Linked DNA regions of Caenorhabditis elegans. The main gene of each other region encodes a partner of the protein of the gene in region 2 in a complex. Each region holds a gene or a part of one and is shown on either strand. Other genes may lie near its edges.

What was found.
Region 1: csn-3 (region 2) and csn-5 share a complex: the UniProt entries of both Caenorhabditis elegans proteins name them as parts of the CSN complex.
Region 3: csn-3 (region 2) and csn-6 share a complex: the UniProt entries of both Caenorhabditis elegans proteins name them as parts of the CSN complex.
Region 4: csn-3 (region 2) and cif-1 share a complex: the UniProt entries of both Caenorhabditis elegans proteins name them as parts of the CSN complex.

What each region holds. Positions count from the first base shown.
Region 1 is NC_003282.8:5,647,531-5,651,596, reverse strand, and holds csn-5 (COP9 signalosome complex subunit 5), read right to left. Parts: upstream 2,065-4,066; 5' UTR 2,062-2,064; coding exon 1,996-2,061; intron 1,946-1,995; coding exon 1,692-1,945; intron 1,644-1,691; coding exon 1,261-1,643; intron 1,015-1,260; coding exon 611-1,014; 3' UTR 518-610; downstream 1-517. UniProt on the Caenorhabditis elegans protein: Probable protease subunit of the COP9 signalosome complex (CSN), a complex involved in various cellular and developmental processes.
Region 2 is NC_003282.8:192,996-197,771, reverse strand, and holds the start of csn-3 (COP9 signalosome complex subunit 3), read right to left. Parts: upstream 3,031-4,776; 5' UTR 2,995-3,030; coding exon 2,988-2,994; intron 2,932-2,987; coding exon 2,806-2,931; intron 933-2,805; coding exon 663-932; intron 12-662; coding exon 1-11. Other genes in the region: intk-1 (INTaKe), read right to left, coding at 3,708-3,878, 4,456-4,776. UniProt on the Caenorhabditis elegans protein: Component of the COP9 signalosome complex (CSN), a complex involved in various cellular and developmental processes.
Region 3 is NC_003282.8:13,298,852-13,304,251, forward strand, and holds csn-6 (COP9 signalosome complex subunit 6), read left to right. Parts: upstream 1-1,972; 5' UTR 1,973-1,978; coding exon 1,979-2,240; intron 2,241-2,292; coding exon 2,293-2,693; intron 2,694-3,705; coding exon 3,706-4,047; intron 4,048-4,085; coding exon 4,086-4,215; intron 4,216-4,518; coding exon 4,519-4,679; 3' UTR 4,680-4,850; downstream 4,851-5,400. Other genes in the region: micu-1 (Calcium uptake protein 1 homolog, mitochondrial), read left to right, coding at 1-30, 76-319, 369-1,162; kdp-1 (KASH (Klarsicht/ANC-1/Syne Homology) Domain Protein), read left to right, coding at 1,337-1,774; Y67H2A.7 (Peptidase M3A/M3B catalytic domain-containing protein), read left to right, coding at 4,901-4,996, 5,043-5,132, 5,188-5,274. UniProt on the Caenorhabditis elegans protein: Component of the COP9 signalosome complex (CSN), a complex involved in various cellular and developmental processes.
Region 4 is NC_003282.8:4,706,342-4,712,711, reverse strand, and holds cif-1 (COP9/Signalosome and eIF3 complex-shared subunit 1), read left to right. Parts: upstream 1-1,956; 5' UTR 1,957-2,232; intron 2,233-2,318; coding exon 2,319-2,430; intron 2,431-2,929; coding exon 2,930-3,390; intron 3,391-4,124; coding exon 4,125-4,454; intron 4,455-5,384; coding exon 5,385-5,570; intron 5,571-5,622; coding exon 5,623-5,706; 3' UTR 5,707-5,858; downstream 5,859-6,370. Other genes in the region: yars-2 (Tyrosine--tRNA ligase), read left to right, coding at 216-271, 319-420, 472-644, 693-829, 879-1,547, 1,598-1,804. UniProt on the Caenorhabditis elegans protein: Component of the eukaryotic translation initiation factor 3 (eIF-3) complex, which is involved in protein synthesis of a specialized repertoire of mRNAs and, together with other initiation factors, stimulates binding of mRNA and methionyl-tRNAi to the 40S ribosome.

The DNA.
Region 1 (4,066 bases), 5.5 Mb from region 2:
CCTCACCCACTTCAATCCCCACAAAGTGAGCAACCCCTATCTTGCAACAGTTTTATCATCTCTTCATCATACCCAGTTTGATAATTTATTATCTGATCCCCATCCCCTTGTCGCCTCTCATTAGTATCCTAGTTTTTCATTTGAGCCCGGAGCTCAGACTACATCTCCGAATCATCATACAAATAGATAGAAACGGGTCTCGTGACGAAAGAATACGTGCACCACACGACCCCCCCATCCTGTTCACCCCCATACACCTGAAAAATATGATCTTTACAGTTATTTCTATTATATCCTCAAATCTCTCGTAATATCGTATCAATTTCCTCTTCTTTTTTGTCATTTTCAATTTTTCTCAAATTTCTCAGATCTATTCTTTTTCTTGTATTTTTGGAACTTGTATCCCTCCTCCATCCCCAGACTTCCCCTTCCCAGTTACTCTTGTACATTTTCATATATGTCCATATATCGTTTGAATCTCTCATTTATGGAAATAAATTTGAAAAAATCAATCATTGAAAAGCAAAAATTTCATTCAAATAAAATGATGTTGGTGAATTTAACACAGAAAACAGGGGGACTTGATTTATAAATATAGACAAAACGAGAATTAAGCATCGGCCATCTCAACAGCGGGCTCCGGAGCAGATGGAGAAGGACCAGCCTTCTCGGGTTCAGTTGCCACGGCGATATCCATTGGAGATCCTGCAGAAGCATGGGAACATCCACAGCCACCACCAGCTTGGCGAGCAAACAATAGTTGTTTCACGAGATGAGAGATTCTTCCAGTTTCAAGTTCATCTCCGACTGCCTTTGCATCGGTCACGACTTTCATCAAAGCTTCATGTCCATCGACACTTCTGTCATTCAATTGGAGCTTCTTATCGACGGCCGACAGCTTCTGATTGATGTCTTGAATTTGATTGTTGAGGAATTCGACGTTTGAGAAGAGTGGAGAACTGCTGAGAGTGGAAATCCAATAGCTGTTCCACAGAGAAGTCAAGATGTGAGCGTCTGGAATTTTAATTATTAAAACGGGAAAGAATCGGAGATGTTTCTTTTTCAATTGAGACCAATTTCCCGTTGAGATGTTTAATATTATTATTCTTATTTTAAAAGTTTAAAATTTCAAGCTATTCGATTCCAATAAGTTTAAACAATCCAAAAAACAAAGCTTTGAATATTGGATTTTACAGTTGATTGTCCTTTATCGTATTTTTATTATGTAATTCATTCCCGATAAATATAAATTTCACCTACCAAGTTGTGATTTGAAGAAGCTGACGTCAAGCGAGTAGTATCGTTTGCAATGTACACCGAAATCCTCAATCTTTGCGAGAGGAATCGACTGATACTCTGATGGAACATCATCTGGTGGACGGTATCCTTCTGGATATGTACGGAATGCGCCAATGTCAACCTTTCCGGCAGACATAGTTCTCAATGGATCAATAACAATAGCAACCCATGGCTCTTGGAACTTTTGATTGAGTGTCTGCGTTGAGACGTCGATTCCGGATAGCCAGCATCCATATCCAGGATGAGAATGATACCATCCGACGACTTTCTCCTTTCGACCTTCCGTATCGCACATTTCAGAATAAACTGTCATGTACTCGTAGGCTTGAGCTTGGGCATTGACTCTGGAAATTTAAAATGTTCGAAATTACTCCCAGCGTAAATCATTTCACCTGGTCTCAGTACCCTCAACTGGAAGAGCGAATACATCAAGAATAATGAAAGAATTAGCATCGATTCGACCTTGCAAAAGTCCCATAATTTCCAGATTTCCACCTCTTTTCGCGTGCATTGTCATTTTCAGAAGAGCAATTGCAGATATTTTGATTTGTTTGAAATAATGTGGATCTTTATCCCATGGTTTTGCATTTCTGATTTCTACTTGCTGCTTGTTGTTGTACTCGAAAATCGAATCGACATTTTGGACCTGAAACACAAATAATATTAAAAATCTAAAAATATTTAAGAAAAACTGACGTTATTTTCTTTTTCCCAGTTTCTCTGCGGAACTGAGCTGGATGGCTTGACGTTATCAACTTCCATCGTCTGAAAAAAGCATTACCTTGCTAATATTATTAAGAAATACAATCAATAAGACGATAAGGGCATGAAAAATGATAATGAGATGATTTTACATGAAGAATTGAAACAAATTAAGTAATTCTCAGATTATAATTTTTTTAAATCGATTGAAACCAACAAAAACTAAAAAAAATCTGAAATTTGAAATGAGAAAATATCTGTTGTTATTCTAACAACGACACTCCAACTTTCCGTTGGTGCGCGTTGTTTACCGTAAACCGACACCAAGCGGATGTACTACAATTGGAAGACTTGATTTCATAGAAGAACAAATAAATAGGAGAAATGTATTAAAAATGATTATGGCGGAATAAGATATTTAAGTTTTAAATGTCCTAAAGACTGGTTATCCAGCTTGTTGCATTGTGGATCCCTTTTAGAGAAGTTGGCATTCCAGTTCAAAGGTTTTTGCTCAATTCCAGAAACATATCATCAATCTGGTGTAGTCTAGAATGTATACTACAAAATACTGAACCTCATCAATGACCCTTAAATCTTCCAGAAGAATATTCATGAATACTTGCTACTGCAAGCAAAAAGTTTTATAAAAGCCACAAGCTGAGCAAGAAAACATTTCGCAGAAAAAATGTTATCCGCAATTTTCCTGATTATCAACTCGTTGGTGACTGTTTCAGGATATTGTGTTAATTTATTCCTCCTCCACGTGGCAATATTTCATAGTCCGTCTATTATAAGAACATTCTCAATTGTCATTATTAACATGGCATTCACTAATTTTGGAGCATGTCTTAGTGGATTTCTGATTGGACAACGAGTTATTCCAGCTGGGAAACAATTATTTTATATTTCCTATGGAATTTGCTCAAATTTAGGAGAACAGTTTTGTTTTGATATGTGAGTTTGACGTGGAAAAAAAAATGAATGTCAATGGAAAAATGTTCCCGTTTCAAGAAGTTTTTGAAACAGAAGAAATTTGAAAAACAATTATATGTAGGTAGATCAAATTGTTACTGCCCTATTTTTATATTTATCTTAACATTATTTAAACGAGGTTTGGACGGGTTTAGTAAGATGAAAAATTTTTTAAATGGGAGAGGGCTAAATTTAAAAAAAATTAAGTCTTGAACTATAGAAAAACAATAAAAATGGATCATTGTCAAAAGGAATTTTTAAAAATCCTTTAAATCGATGAAAAAAATTAAAATCTAAACATACACTTAAGAAATGTATAGAGTGTTTAAAAATTTCAGTCAGAGTTTCGGCAAATTGCCAAATTTTTTTTGCGAAACTTTTCCCTTTTTGAGAAATTTCATGGATCTCTGCAGGTTTGAAATTTTAGAATTTATAAAATTAATTAATAATTTCGAAAACTCAAAGAAAAATTTATTTTTGGTAAACATCCAAAATTACGATTGCTGAAGCCTAGGACATCAATTAAAAATTAGTTCCAAAAAGTTTTTGAAAAATTTAACTAAAAGCAGTTTGAAATATTTTTCCATTATAGTATATATTTTTCCACATATTTTAGCAAATTAAATCCATCGAAATTAATAAAAAAAAGGTTTCCCCAACAAAGATAGTTTAAAAAAACAGTCTCCACCCACTTATAGGCTCTCTTATGCGCCTGAATCAAACTTTTTTCTTGCATAGGTTTCAATGACAGAATACTCCAATTTTTTAAATCTCCAAAAAAACTTTTTCCAGATTCGGAGCCCTTCTACATTTCCACACTCATGCTCTTTGTCTCATTTTTCTATCTTTTGCATACCGTTTTTATGTGATGAAACATCAAGAGATCTCCCGATGTATTCTTCAAGTTCTCATATTTCTCATCTACATTCCATCATTTATACAATTAATTGCAATGCTCTTTTTTCAAGATACCAATTTTGCAGAAATTCGAATTTTATTCATAGAATCTCTTCCACAACACAACATAACAGATCTTACTGTAACTGGAGCTGTGGATATATTTCAATTCAGTACACCTATTACAATTGGAATT
Region 2 (4,776 bases):
CAGTGGGAAAACTGAAAAAAAAATTTTTTTTAGAGGGAAATTGGAAAAAATTACATTTTAAAAGTTAAAAAAAAATCAAATTTTCAGTTAAATTTTCAATTTTTGCCTAGTTTTTCTTTAAATTCGAGCTTATTTGCCAATATTTTTCAATTTTTCTTGAAAGATTTTTCAATTGCTCCATTCAAAAAGTGAAAAAAAAATCTATGGAAAAGTGACTTTTTACAAGAAAATCGTTAAAATTTGTCATTTTTTCACTAAAGAATGCATTTTCAGACAACTTTTTTCTGTGGAAAAATTCGGATTTTCGAATTTTTTTGAGGACGAAAAATTAGGAAGTTCTTAGTTTTTTAATTTTCAGTCTGAAATTTATAGATTTTTGAGGGAAATTGAGAAAAAAAAAATAAAATTTAGGAAGAATTATAGGAAGAAGGAGAAATTTTCAGTTAAGTTTTCTATTTTTGCCTAGCTTTTCTCTAAATTCAAGTTTTTATTTTTATTTTCCTTTGAAATCCGACGTCTTTGACTTTCTGCTTTAAAAAAAAACGGAAAATTCGGCGAAGTGAAGCTGCATTTTTCTCTTTAAATCTAGATTTTTCGCATAAATTCCATGTAAATCATCCATATTTTCCAGTTTTTCTTCTCAATTTTATCTAGAAACTCACTAATTTCAGGTACAAGCTTCAAATGTCCTCCAACAAAATTATTCTCATCAACATAATGATTGAGAAGCTCAACAGCTCGATCTGTTCCAGTTTCATTATTTTTTGCAGCCGACGTATCAAACATTCCTTTAATTGCAGCAACCATTGCAGCTGAACCAACATTTGGACTACAATGAAGCAAAAATGCTTCAACATCGTTCGATTTCTTTTCGAAAAGCTCTTTATTCTTACGAACAATTCCAGCGGCCAGTTCACCAACATTCTCTGAAACTAAATACGGGAAATTAATGCGGAATTCTGGAAAAAATAGGCTTGACGGTATCCTTAAATTGAATTTTTTTTTAAATAAAACAAATTTTTTAATAAATTTATTTTAAAGCGGGATTACAGTTTGTGGGTATTCTGCTTAAATAGACTACAACTGGTCCAAAACCACCGAATTTAATAATGAAACAAAAAATTTTCAACAATTTTGTATGGATTTTTGGTTGAGGCTTAGGATTTTTGGGTGAGGATCAGGATATTTCGTTGAGGCTACCATGATTTTTGGTTGAGGCTAAGGATTTTTGATTGAGGCTCAGGATTTTTGGTTGAGGCTACCAGGATTTTTGGTTGAGGCTAAGGATTTTTGATTGAGGCTCAGGATTTTTGGTTGAGGCTACCATGATTTTTGATTGAGGCTCAGGATTTTTGATTGAGGCTCAGGATTTTTGGTTGAGGCTACCAGGATTTTTGGTTGAGGCTAAGGATTTTTGATTGAGGCTCAGGATTTTTGGTTGAGGCTACCATGATTTTTGGTTGAGGCTCAGGATTTTTGATTGAGGCTCAGGATTTTTGGTTGAGGCTCTCAGGATTTTTGGTTGAGGCTCAGGATATTTCGTTGAGGCTACCATGATTTTTGGTTGAGACTCTCAGGATTTTTGGTTGAGACTCAGGATTTTTGGTTGAGGCTACCATGATTTTTGGTTGAGGCTAAGAATTTTTGGTTGAGGCTCAGGATTTTTGGTTGAGGCTACCAGGATTTTTGGTTGAGGCTCTCAGGATTTTTGGTTGAGGCTCAGGATATTTCGTTGAGGCTACCATGATTTTTGGTTGAGGCTAAGGATTTTTGATTGAGGCTCAGGATTTTTGGTTGAGGCTACCATGATTTTTGATTGAGGCTCAGGATTTTTGATTGAGGCTCAGGATTTTTGGTTGAGGCTACCATGATTTTTGGTTGAGGCTAAGAATTTTTGGTTGAGGCTCAGGATTTTTGGTTGAGGCTCAGGATATTTCGTTGAGGCTACCATGATTTTTGGTTGAGGCTAAGGATTTTTGGTTGAGGCTAAGGATTTTTGATTGAGGCTCAGGATTTTTGGTTGAGGCTACCATGATTTTTGGTTGAGGCTCAGGATTTTTGATTGAGGTTCAGGATTTTTGGTTGAGGTTCAGGATTTTTGGTTGAGGCTACCATGATTTTTTGGTTGAGGCTCAGGATTTTTGGTTGAGGCTAAGGATTTTTGGTTGAGGCTTTCTGGATTTTTGGGTGAGGCTCTCCGGAATTTTGGTTGAGGCTACCATGATTTTTGGTTGAGGCTACCATGATTTTTTGGTTGAGGTCAAAATTAAAAAAGGCATATTAGTGCAAAAATCAGAAATTTTGCCCAGTTTTCTTTGTCGCAGAGACTGTAATTCAACTTTTCTGAAATTATCACTTTTAATTCACATTTTGGTAATTTATCTTGTGTAAATTCATTGATTGAGACAATTTTTAAGCGAAGAGACATCCAAAAATGATAAAAATTGGATGCCTCACGGTTTAAAATTGTCTCAATCAATGAATTTACACAAGATAAACTAATAAAACTTAGATTAAAGAGTGATAATTTCAGAAAAGTAAAATTCCAGTGGCTGCGACAAAGAAAACTGGGGACAAAGAAAAAATTTCAGATGTCAGCAAAATTTGGCTCTTTTTTTTCGGAATTCGATCCCTTTTCAGATGATATTCATCAATTTTTCACGAACTTCTACGAGAATTTCGATGGGTTTTTGAATGAAATCATTCAAATTTCCCGAAAATTTCAGCGAATAAATACATTTTCAAGTTGAAAAATTGAGAAAATCACTAATTTTCTTCTTTTTCCAACAAAACCCTCCAAATTACCATGTTTTTCACTGCAAAGCTCATTGATCGCAGCACACAATGACTCCATACTACCAAGATCCATTCCAGAAGAAGCTGCTGCAGACGATGATGATGAGGCTCCCGTGAAGAGCTTATTGAAAAAAGCTGAAAAAGCTTTTCCGATTTTTTTAGAAAATTTACAGGTTAAATAATAAACTTACTTGTCATGATCCTTTTGTGAATGGGATTTTCCTGTGATATCTGAAAATATTTACATTTTATCGTGAAAATGTGTGACAAGAAACGAGTAAGAGAAGATATACGAAAAAATAAGAGAAAATTGCACAGGGAATGGCGATTGGTGAGAAAATTTAGAGAAGAAACCGAGAAAAATATAGAAATTGAGTAAAAATCGAGCTTGTACAGGAAAATACCGAGAAATTAGTGAAAAATGGGTAAAATTTGGGGAAAAGAGAAAACTTTGCTAGAAAATAGAGGGAATCACGAAAATTTTAGGGTATTTCAGTTCAAATATCACCGAAAAAGCACCGTGTCAGGCATAAAACGCTGTTTTTTTGAAAATTACTTATAGAAAATACGCTAAACAACACGCGACGCGTAACATCGGAGCATCGTTGTCACGCTTTTCTTCGAGAAAAATAGCGTTTTATTCGTTGGCACGGTGCCAATTTCGGAAATTTTAGATCCAAAATCCCAGCTGATCTTGAATCCGTGGTGCCTCAAAACAGGTGAAATTCACAATATTTTCCTGCTCGGAAAAATTTCGAAAAAAAAATCGACAATACGGGGATTTTTCGAGAAAAACTGTGAGAAATGCCCTAAAAAAATGCAAATATTAGCTGGAAACGAAGAAATTTGGGTCAAAATTATAGAATTTTCAAATTAGAAAATGCGTGAAAAATTCAGGAAACATGATCGATTCAAGACGAAAAATACTCCTCGTCGTTATCGATTTTTTCAGTGCGTTGATTTTGAGAAGCGTCGTAAAATGGTACGGTATCGAGTGCAGAATGCATGTCAATCATATGAGTATTCATCGATTCGAATAATCGTTCGATTTCTCGTTCTTCTTCTGAATCATCCGAATCCGACTGAAAATATGGGGAATTTTAGTATATTCTAGTATTTTTGGATTTTTAGTTGAGGCTCTCTGGATTTTTGGTTGAGGCTTTCTGGATTTTTGGGTGAGGCTCTCCGGAATTTTGATTGAGGCCCAGGATTTTTGGTTGAGGCTCTCATGATTTTTGGGTGAGGCTAAGGATTTATGGGTGAGGCTCTCAGAATTTTGATGATTTTAATGAAAATTTGAGTTTTTTAAAGGTAAAAAGCTATTGGAATATTGCATTCAGCGAGTTTTTTTTATTTTTTGCAGCGCTAAATATCACAAAACAGATATTTTGTGATTCCTGGGACCGTTTTTTGGGACTTTCTGCTTTTTTTCAGATTAAAAAACTGGCGTCTGTCGCATTTTTTGTTAGTTTTTTGAGAGATCTTCGGAGTCGTTTAGCTAGAAAATAGACTGAAAATCGGATTTAAAAAAAAAGGAAAATCCTGCCAAAAACACATTTTCTAGATCACATTGAGCTTTTTACATTCCAAAAATCCCGATTTCTTCGTAAAATTGCACAAATTAATCCCTTTTTTATGGAAATCCGAATTTTTCCTTACAAATTCAAAATTCTCCTTGACACTCCTCGCTTGTTTTCTCTTTTTCCTCCTAGCCGACTCAATTTCATAAACTTGTAAATGAATATTCGACACATCTTCATGCGCTTCTTTCACTTTTCCCAACGCAGAAATCTGTGGAGCATCTAGCCATCGGAGCTCACCATTTCGAAAATCTTCCAGTAGTTTCAGCATTCCTTTCTCCTCGAATATCATACTACTGGGCTCCAGAGGCGATGGAGGCTCCCGAACAAGAGTCTCTGTCATTGTATTTGGATCCCATTCGTACATATCTGCGTCTCCTTCGTGTCCGAGCACTTTCTC
Region 3 (5,400 bases), about 13 Mb from region 2:
AAGATTTTCAGATACTTTGCGACCCTGAAAGTGAGTCACTTTGACAAAAATCTATTTATTAGTTGTATTTTTCAGATCATCGATCCTAACGAAGACAGTGGACGCTTTGAAGTTTTCATGACTCCTGAGGATTTTCTCCGTTCTTTCACTCCGGGTGTGATGCAGCCGAGACGTTGGGGGCTTGATAGTTTTAAAAACTATAATCCTGAGAAGCATAAACGTCACAAGTTCTCCGACCCTGACAGTATTTTTTACAAGCTCGGCGAGAACGGTCTCATAAACTTCAGTGATTATCTGTTTCTCATGACTCTGCTCTCAAGTGAGTTTTAATACTCGTTTTTCTTTCAAAATATCATTGACTTTTCCAGCCTCTCACGCGGATTTCGCTCTCGCATTCAAAATCTTCGATGTAGATGGGAACGGTGCGCTGGATAAAGAAGAATTCACAAAAGTTCAACAGCTTATTATGTCCCAAACAACTGTAGGACAGCGTCATCGAGATCATATAACGCCAAACCAGTCGTTCCGTGTCGAGACAAACTCCGCTCTCGAAACATATTTCTTTGGAAAAGACGGAAAGGGGAGCTTGTCGTCTGAAAAATTTATCGAGTTTCAAGAGCGTCTACAACACGACATTTTAAAGATGGAATTTGAACGGAGAGATGCACTGGATAACCCGGATGGACTTATCAACGAAGATAGTTTTGCTCAACTTCTCCTTCTTCATGCTCAAATTAATGAGAAGAAACAGAAGCATATGTTGAAGCGGGTTAAACGAAGATTTAAAGGAGAAAATTTGAAAGGAATCAGTTTTGGAGAGACGAAAGCATTTTTCGAGTTTTTGTATCACATTGACGATGTAGATATTGCTCTACACTTTCATAAAATGGCTGGAATGTCGATAGATGCGAAGCTACTTCAACGAGTTGCGGTCAAAGTGACTGGAATACCTCTATCGGATCACGTTGTGGATGTGGTGATTACTTTGTTCGATGACAATTTGGATGGAAAATTATCACATGAAGAAATGGTTGCTGTGATGAGGAGAAGAATGCGTAGAGGTTTAGAGCGACCAAGAGATACTGGACTTTTCCGTTTGTTTGATGCAGTTCTGGAATGTGGAAAACGAGCTTATCACGCCAGTCCTCTTCCATTTTATTAGTGGTGCCCATGGCCACTGTAAATACTTGTTTATAAATAAAGCTTTTCATTCTTTTTAACAAATTATATTTGTTATGTTCATAAAAAGTGTTCGTTTCACTTTTCTTATCTTAATTTCATTTTTTTATTCTTTATTTCTTTCTCCACATTTTAAAACACATTTTTCAGGAAAATCATGTCGTTGGCTTTGAGAAAGACTTTGGGCGTCGCTCGCTTTTCCATGAGAACCGCCAGCTTCCAGGCTGTTCCAACCAACGCCGGAAAGACCCCACCAACCCTCGAACAATTCGATCCACTGAACCCAGGAGAGTGGCAACTCGGAGCCGGAGGAAAGATCCTTCCACGTCTGCCAGAGGGAACCAAATGCGGAAACCTTGTCATGGGAAAGTACGGACTCTACGATCCAATCCTCAAGAAAAGAGTTGATACCTACGCCAATGCTCTTCTCGAAGGAAAGAAGTCCGAAGAGGCTGGACCATTCGATGTCGCTGTCAGCAAGATCGCCAAGGTCCTTTCCTACATCTGCTTTGTCATCGCCATCTACAACCTCATCTCGTTGGTCAACGGAACTCCACTTCCACCACTTAGCCACGTCAAGGCTCCAGGATCCTAAATAATTTCCACTCGATTGCATTATCTCTTTTTTGTAGGAAGTTTTATGTTCTGTAAAACTTATGTCAATGTGAATCAATAAAATTCCCGTTTAGCTTGTTTTTCCACCAGTGAATCCAGGAATATTTTCAAAATTTCCAAATCATTATCTGGCTTGAAACAAAAAAACCGATTTCGAAACCAAATTTCGAAATAATTTTCAGAAATGGCATTGAACGCACCAAGCGGGAGCTGTAGCTCGAAGGTGCTTTTGCATCCTTTGGTTATTATGCAAATGTCCGAACACTACTCCAGAACAAAGGTCCAACAGGGTCCTACTGTGAAAAAAGTGTTCGGAGCAATTCTCGGACGGCAGAATGGACGACAAGTCGAGGCGATCAATTCATTTGTTCTGAAAATGGAGACAGAAGAAATGGCTGAGCCGGTTACTTTTAGCACGGAGCATCTCCTTCAAAGAGCAGATCAATGTCAGTTTTACTCTGTTCTTGCTCATTTTAGTTTTTTTTCCCCAAATTTCAGATCTGGAAGTGTTTCCCGAGCTCCAAGTTATCGGTCTTTATTGTGCTGGGGAGGATGATAATCTGACTCCCGAAGAGAAACCTCTTCTCTCAAAACTCACCAATGCGGTTCGCAATTCAGAGAAAGCCGGACAAATCGACGCGACACTTTTCCTTAAACTCAACTCTATCACTGCTGGAACCACTCGTAAACTTCCACTTTTCGCGTTTGAAGCAGACGTGACTGATCAGGAGAAGCATAAGCCAATTGAATGGATTTTAGTGTCGGAAGAAAGTGAACGTGTCGGTGTTAATCATATCGCTAAGTTATCAACGAAACATGGAAAAGACGGGAAATCAGTTGGAAAGAAACACGCGGAGGCTCAAGATGCAGCAATGAGCATGCTTCAGAATCGGGTTGATGTGCGTTCGAGAAATTGGAGGCCAGAAAAAGACAAAATTTCATAATGAGACTTCTGAAAATGCTGTTTAGCGGTTCAAAAATTTTAAAATAATACCTAAAATTCGCTAAAATGCATATTTCGATCTTATCTCGCATTAATTCGTTGATTTAAGACACATTTTCAGTCGATTGACACCTAATTTTGGAAAAAATGTTTGAAAAAAGTACCTCCATTTACTAGTAATTGCGAGCTAAACGACTAAAATATGTAACAACAGCTGCTGCGACATGAAAAGTTTGCGAAATTTCAGAATTTAGACAGTTTTGGCTCTTATTTTTTTTTGAAATTTTGACATACTTAAAAAGTTTATTAATATTATTTTGAGAAATCTCGTTATGAAAATCAATACAGCAGCAAACTAAAGTGGAATAGTCGAAATAGTTTTACTGCTTTATTAGACTCACAATTGACTGAAAACACCGAATTTCATAATGAAACTTCTTGAAAACGTCTCAAAAAAAAGTTATGACGGCTCAAAAAATAGCCTAAATGTAGTTAAAATTTGAAATTTGACCGACTTGTCAAGCGGCTGGAAACTAATTTTTTGAAATCTCCATCTAATTTTGAGTATAAAATTTAAATATCTTGCGTTTTCAACTTCATTTATGTATTTTAAAGCCGATGGACGGCGATATTTTTAATTTTTTTTTTACGAAATCTCGCCGTCCATCGACTTTAAAGTACCCAAATCGAGTTAAAAACGCAAGATAATGACATTGTATGCTCAAAATTTGACGGTGCTTTCAAAAAAAAAAATTGTTTCCAGCCGCTGCAACATTGCAAGACGGTCAAATTTCAAATTTTAACTAATTTTAGGCCATTTTTTGAGCCGTCATAACTTTTTATTGAGAAATTTTCAAGAAGTTTCATTATGAAATTCGGTGTTTTCAGACAATTTTGAGTCTAATAAAGCAATAAAACAATTTCGACTACTCCGCCTTTAATTTTTTTTACAAAAAAATAATTTTCAGCTAATCGTTGCCTATCTCGAAAAAGTGCAAGACGGAACACTTCAACCGAATTTTGAAATTTTGAAGGAAGCTAACTTGCTTGCTCAAAAGCTCAAAACCATTGATCGATATGCTGCTGAGTTCACTGATAGTTTCGAAAAGGAAGAGAAAACAATGACCGTATTCTCTCTGATGCCAAGATTGACAACTCTTCTCGGAAATATGCAAAATGTGTGGAACAAGTTGTCAGCTCAAAGAGCCGATCTTCTCGCCGACGATGGATTCCATGGAAAATCGACAAGCCGTTGGGCTCATCCGGTTCGATTCAAATCACAACATCTCGGTCGTCCGCAGCAGGCAGATGTAAGTTAATGCATTTAGAATATTTCTAAATCCTTTAGGAATGTTTGTTCCAGGATGACGATTATTTTGATGATGAAGATTTGGAGAACGATATGAGTGGACCACGGAGAAAAATTCATGCTGCTGATTCTCCAGCTGGATCGAGAAGACGACGTGTTCCGCCAAGAGGTAGATTTGGAAATTCTGAATTATTATGAAGACGCAGAAAAATTCACCTTCTTGGGGAAATTTTTTGAAAGCGGATTTTTCAGAAGTTTTGACATCAGATACGAGGTTTAACATTTTTTATCAACTATTAAAATTTAATTAAAAAGCACAAAAAAAAAAGACAAAAAATACCTGAAGGAAAATTCTAAATTTACGATTTAGCCGATTCAATTGGTCGTGGAACGATTTTTTTTTCAAAAATAAGCATTTTTGTGCGTCCTCATTTCAAAATCTTCTGGAAAACATTAAAAATGTTGATTTCAGCAATGAACTTCCTCGGTCGGAATTCTGGTATGCAAGCCGCCACGGACGAAATGGAATTGTCAGGTCAAGAGGAAAATATGGGAAGCAACTATATTCCAGACGTTCCAAGACCATCTGCAACAGCACACAACGAGTCGGACGAGTCGAGTCAAGCTTCATAAATATCCTTTTTTTGTTAAAAATTCACTGTAAAAATGCCACTTTTTCTTATTTATTTCATTGTTTCTCAAATTTTTACACCACTTTACGTGTTTTTCATCCCCATTTATCTGAAATATAATGTCTGATCTCCGATTCTCGATATTAAAAAAAGGTTAAACGTTCCTTATATCAATAGAATCCAGTTTAGTTTAGACTATAGTGATTTTTTCTACAGCACTAAATGCTTCGAAGTGTGATATTACGGCATAGTCGAACGATAAGCCGGAATAGCTGGGTGGCTAGAGCATTTCGAAGCGAGAAGGTCGACAAAGAAACGGTTTTTTTTTTCAAGAAAATGGATTTTTTTAAATTTAAAACTTCAGGGATTATTTGGAAATAAAAACTTGAAAACCGCAGAAAGTTTCAATGAATTACCGGCGGCAGTTAAAAAATCAACTGATGCTCTTATTCAGGTATTTAGGAGAGCTCTGAAATCCAATTGAAATCCTGTAAAATTCAAATTTTCAGGAGCTTCTAACCCCATCGCAGAATCCCAGAACTTCTATTCAAATTGTCGATGATATTTCGAATGAGATTTGCAAATCGGCGGATCTTGTAAGCTTCGCTTCGAAAAAAGTTCCCAAATTCAGAAGAACCACAAAAAAAAACGCGATTTTTGAGGCACCACGTTTTCAATATCTAGTCGGAAACAATGTCTACGAAAGCAAGATCTACAGTTTG
Region 4 (6,370 bases), 4.5 Mb from region 2:
ACATTTTCGGCTGAAAACCAATTTAAATGAGCATTAATGAAAAATGGTGAAAATGCAAAATGGCCGAGTTTTCGTGGCCGGGTGGCCGAGGATTTTCTCCGACCACCGCGCGGAGTTTTGTGGAAACTGCGGTCCCTAAAAACGGGATTTTAATCATTTTCTTTTACTAAAATATCATTTCTATTATATTTTTATGCAGCTACCGCTAGTACACAATGTTCAACAGCAAACGAATCGGAAATGTGGCCTTAAAAACGGTACGTGCACCTCGGTGAGTCAATTGCTAGTGGGTTATTCTAATTTTTCGTTTTTTTTCAGAGAAAGCTCATTCGTGGATTACATCACCGACTTAAACGCGAGAAAACAGCTGCAACACTCGTATCCAACGGACCTGCTGTCTAAATGTAGCGAAGATTTGAGGTTGAACTTGTGAATGTTACGAAATTCCGCAAATAATCCATTTAATTTCAGGCAGCTTCCACCTTATGTGTATGCTGGTTTCGATCCAACTGCTGAGAGCCTTCACATTGGAAATCTTCTGATTCTCGTCAATTTAATTCGTGCACAGCAGTTTGGAATACGTCCAATTGCATTGATCGGAGAATTCACTGCCAGTATTGGAGATCCGAGCGGAAAGAAATCAGGTTTTTACCTAGAAAAGCGCTGAAAACTCAATAAATCATGACCTTCAGAACGGGGTCTTCTGGCCGGCGATGTAATTATGCACAACTCGAGGAAAGTAACAGATCAGATCTGCAAGATTTTTGAGAACGCGCCGGGATCAAGCGAGAAGCCGATCATCGTGAACAATAATGATTGGCTAGGAAAGGTAGTCATTCGGCTTGCTATGATGAGAAAGAAAATGTTATATTTTTCAGATTAGTCTACGAGATTTCCTGAGAGAATGCAAGAATATGCAAGTCGGAAAGATGCTTCGAATGAATACGATAAAGAATCGGCTGGAAGTTGGATTATCGTACACTGAATTCAGCTATCAAACAATGCAAGCATTCGACTGGTACACGTTATCCGAAAAGTATGGATGTCGATTCCAGCTTGGTGGATATGATCAATTGGGTCACCTGGACTTTGGAGCTCACTATATTAAGAAAATGATGAATCAAGCCTTCGCTGCAGGAGTATGCTTCCCGATTCTGACGGATTCTACTGGTGCCAAGCTCGGAAAGTCTGAAGGAGGAGGTGCGCTGTGGCTTGATGCGACGAAGACGTCTCCGTTCCATTTCTATCAGTTCTTCGCGCAGCTTCACGATGACAAAGCGGAAGAGCTTCTGTTACTTTTCAGTTTGCAAGATATCGAACATATAAGAGATGTTCTGAAGAATCATAGGAGCAATCTTGGACAATGGATTGCTCAGAGGGAGTTGGCCGCCGAAATTACTCGAATTGTGCACGGAAAAGAAGGTTTAGAAGTGGCGATGCGGTGTACAAAAGCAATGTTTGGAGCCAAGAAGGCTGATTTATCGGGATTGTCGAGAAGTGAAGTATTGCAATTATTCAGAACAACAATTGACTTGAAAAAGGAGAATGTAAGCATCAAAAAATTAGTTGTCGAAGATTTTATTCTTTTTCTTCCCAGGTAGCAACAATGGGCCAACTCGCGGACGCATCTCGACTAGGCAGTGGGAAAGGTCATCTTTTGATGCAACAAGGAGCATTTTCAGTGAATGGAGAGAAGAAAAGATCTCCATCGGAATCAATAGCAGACGTTTTCCTGGAAAATGCCTCCGATCTCACCCTTGTTTGTTGGGGAAAACGAGGTTACCAGCTGGTTCGATGGGTTTGAATAGGTTCAGTTTTAGTTGTTATAATGAAAATAAATATTCATTTTTTTGTTGTATTTGTGGTGTCATATTCTCGGCGTTCTCTACGCTTTATTATATCTCTTTTTCTCGTTTCCAAGCATATTTTTTGTATTTTATTCCTGAATAATTTTCGGCTCGTCTCTATTCGCATGAGCGGAGGAGTAGTGCACAGCAAACTTCAAAAGCTCGTTCTCTCCACCTACCGTGATTTTTTGCGCGCCTCCCGTGGCCGTGACCCGAGCATTCGCACGCATATTCGGCACGAGTTCCGCGCCGCTGCAACACGTTTCGAGCCAAGTGACCTGTTGCTCATTGAGCATCATTTGAGAAGAAGCCAGAGACAGCTGGAAGCGATTCGGAAAGGACACATTGAGAAGATCGCAACGGTTGATAGCGCCGCGAAATAAAGGTGAATGAGTTGAAGTTTGATGTGCATTTCTCCTTTTTGCTCGTTCACAGTTCCATATTTTCTAAACTGCATGTACAATATTTCAGATGGCTGACACTCGTGAGCTTCCAGTTTTCGCCTACATTGATGATGTCAAGCAGCTCCAAGAGCTCCGTCAATACCTCAACAAGCACGATAGTGTGAAGCTTGATCCAAATGGTGCGGAAAACTTGTAAAGCTGATTTTTTCGATATAATAATTATGGATTAATCCAATCTTTTTGGATCTTTATCATTTTCAGGTCGATCGACTCTTTTTCAACATTTCTGTATCAATTTCTTTCTCAAAAAATTGAATATATCATGTGGAAACGGCAATTCTACAAAATTTTCCTATCGCACCATGTTGTTCCCACTTTTTTTAAAATTTAAATTGTTCTAAAAATATATAAAATCAATTGATTTGGCCTTAAATAGTATTTATTTTAGTTTAAGCATTTGAAAATTGCTTACAAATTGCCATTTCTCAACTAAAATCAACGATATTTTCAGATAAACAAAGTGATTTTCTATGTTTTCACATTATTTTTAATGAAAAATGTTAGAACAACATGATGCAATAGATCATTTTGTAGAATTTCTCCCATGGAAATACGTAAACTTTCAGAAAAGATTTGCGGTACAGCCCTGCTTCAGAATTTGGATTTAAAAAATTTCAGGACCATCAGAGACCGCCCAAAACATGATCGAAATCTGCTCCACTCTCAACGTGCTTCCTTCATGGTCCCAGGACGTCGATCTGGTGCTCAACTCGATATCATCTCTTATCGTCGTTGTGCCAGGCGAGAAGTGTGAGCCAGTCGTCGACTCATTCATCAAGAATGTTGCTCCACAATTCTACAAGGGAACCGGATGGGCTAGTCACGCCGGAATCGCCGTTCGTGTGCTCTCGAATTTGTACAAGGGATACTCGAACTTCCATACTGTACAGGAGAAGATCTTCAAGGCGCTCGTTGATATGTGCGCTGAAGCAAGACTCATTGGAGAGCTGGAATGCAATCTTGAGACTCTTCAAGATAGATTCAACACATGGAAGACGCCAGTCGAGGGACAACGCGAGATCTTGAGAGCAGTTCATCGTGCACTTCTTGTTGATCAGAGAGTTGATCAGGCTGCCAAGGTGGGTTTGATAAAGAACTATCGGTTTTTATACTTAGCTAGACACAAAAACTGCCTTTAAAAAAATTATGGCGGTTAAATATTGCTTAATTTCTGCTAAAGTCTTCAATTTTGCAAACTGTCCCGTCTCGCGGCTTGAACACAGTTTTTATTGAATCTTGGTCTCTTATCTCACACTGTTTTGTTGTTTGCGGTACATTTGAGGGTGATGTCACCAAAATGTTCAAAATTTGGCCAAAAACCCCAAAAGTGGACAAAAATGCCAAAATTTCGCCAAAGAATGAACAAAATTCGATCAAAATTGAACCAAAATGGCCAAATTCCACTAAAAATTGAGCTAAAATGACTAAATTGAACGAAAAGCGCGAAAAGTAAACCAAAAATGACAAAATTTCTACTGAAAATGGCCTGTAAAGTTGGCCAAAAAGTGGACCGACTTTTGTCTAAAACAACAAAGATTGGACCAAAATTGAACCTTTTCTTCATAATTTGAAGTTTCCATAATTTAACAAAAAATTACCGAAAACCACCGAAATAAGTTTATTTCTGACCGTTGGGACACGAGAAGTTGGCAAATCAGAGATTTTAGCTGAAATTAGCGAAATTTTTCGAGAGAGATTTAAATCGCCGTAGAAATTTGAGAAATTTTTCAAATCACGAAATTTTTTTTTGAGTCAATACAAGCTAAAACGCCAAAATCATAAGTCCTCATAACCTTTAAAAAAGTGTTTCCAGGTTATGACTGCACTTCTCGGAACATACACAGAAAAGGACGCTGCCGCAGCACGAGATGATGCTATGGAATGTGTTAGAACTGCTGTCGTCGATCCGAAATCATTCTCCTTTGATCATCTCGAACGACTCAGTGCAGTCAAAGCGTTGAAGACTTCCGATCCACTGATGTTCACAGCTCTCGAGTTGTTCATCTCTGGAACTCTCAAGGATTATAAGGAATTTGTTGCCAAGAATCCGAAATTTGTCACCGAGCACTTGAAGGTTGACGAGACTATTCTTCTCAAGAAGATCCGTCTTTTGACACTCATGTCGCTTGCTGAAGAGAAGAACGTACGTTTGGATATTACTGGGTCTCGCCACGCTCACAACGAGTTACTGTAACTCGTTTCGAAAATCTTGGCAGCAATTTTATTGAAATTTATGATTCAAGGGAAAAGTTTTAGTGTCAAAATAACACATTTTTATCGTTTTTCGACTGCAAAATTACAGATTTTAAGACTAAATAACGGCTTTGGCGAATGATATTACATAGACGATTAAAGAGGAGAAAATGGGTCTCGCCACGCTCACAACGAGTTACTGTAGCTCGAATTACGAACTGCTTATATGTTTTTTTTTTATTTTCGCAGAAATTTTTCATTTACCTTCCAATCAAAATTCAAGAGCACTTCTAAGCTGAAAACCTGAAATGTAAAGCTAAAAATTATAAATTGCAAACTTTTCGGATGAGAAACATCCATTAATGTGGATTTCCAGGTTAAAAACATGCAATTTTCGTAAAAATTTTAGTGTAAAAATACAAAAAACCAAAATTTCACACTTTTTTACTGCAAATTTGCAGATTCTAAGACTAAAAAACGACTTTTTCCGAATGAAAACCCGGCCAAAAATGAGGATTTTTAGGTTAAAAACCTGTCATAATCTCTTAAAATTACAATAACTCGTCTCTAGGAAATCTCCCGAAAAACCTATAATTTTGTGGAAAATGTTGAATATTCCATTTCTGTAAAGAGCGAAATCTCGAATTTTAACAATTTTTCAGTTAGAGAAAGCTCAAAATTATTTGAACACCTTTGAATGCGAAAATGTTGAATTTTCGTTGAAAAATTGGATTTTTAGCGCGCCGAGACCCATATTGCAAAAATGTGAAGTTACGATACAGTAACTCGTTGTTTGCGTGGCGAGACCCATATGGAAACGTCGGTTGGCTATATAACATTTGAAACGTCCGAATTAAATAAAAATTGCTGAATTTTTCAGGAAATCAGTCTCGACGAATTGGCCAAACAATTGGACATTCTTGCCGATGAGACCCTCGAAGAATTTGTGATCGACGCGATTCAGGTGAACGCGATTTCCGGAAAAATCAATGAAATGGCCCGAACTCTCATCGTCAGCTCCTACCAGCACAGAAGATTCGGAACGGAACAATGGGTTCTACTCGAGGTATATAATATTTACTCGTTGGGTTTCCATTTAAAAATTGATTTTTTTCCAGAAACGCCTGAAAGTCCTCATCGCAAATCTGAAGCAAACGCACAACAACGTCCATGAAGTGAATCAGAGAATCGAGGCTCTCTAATTGTTTTTTTTTCGCTGTTCTTTTTAATATATTTGTTTTTGGTTCTCCCTATCGTATTTTCTTCCCATGAAAGTCCCCCGTTTTGTTGGTTCCCTCCTCTATAATTTCTATCTCTCTCTTGAAAAATTTCCCCATAAACTGTTGATTTAAAAAAAGAAAATGTTCCCCACTCTTCTGACTTAATATGGATTTTGTTCACTTCGAAACCCGATTATTTCTATTTATCCGTCGCTTTATCTTGTTTTTTTGTTATGCGATAAGCACACGGGCGTCTCACTTTACACTGATGCTCGTGGAGCCGGAGGGACAAGAGATTAGTCTCTTCCGCTTCGATGATAATCAGATGTTTGTCACTTGACGGACGAAGCCAATCTTTGTTCTTAATTTTCAGAGTTCGGAGAAACTAGCCTTTTTTTGAAGAAAAGTCCAAAAATTCTGCTAATGAAAACGGGAATTTTAGTTAATTTTCCTTTTTCTCAAATTCTTTTTGAAATTAAATTTAAAAAATTCGAGTCATATTTAAAAAAAAACCATGCCTTCTCTATTTTGCACATTTTAGAAGTTACTGCCGCATTTTTTTTCCAGATTTTGGTACATTTTCAGTCGATAGGTGCACAAAAATTGGAAATTCGTGCGCCTATAGACTGTAATTGTACCAAAATAT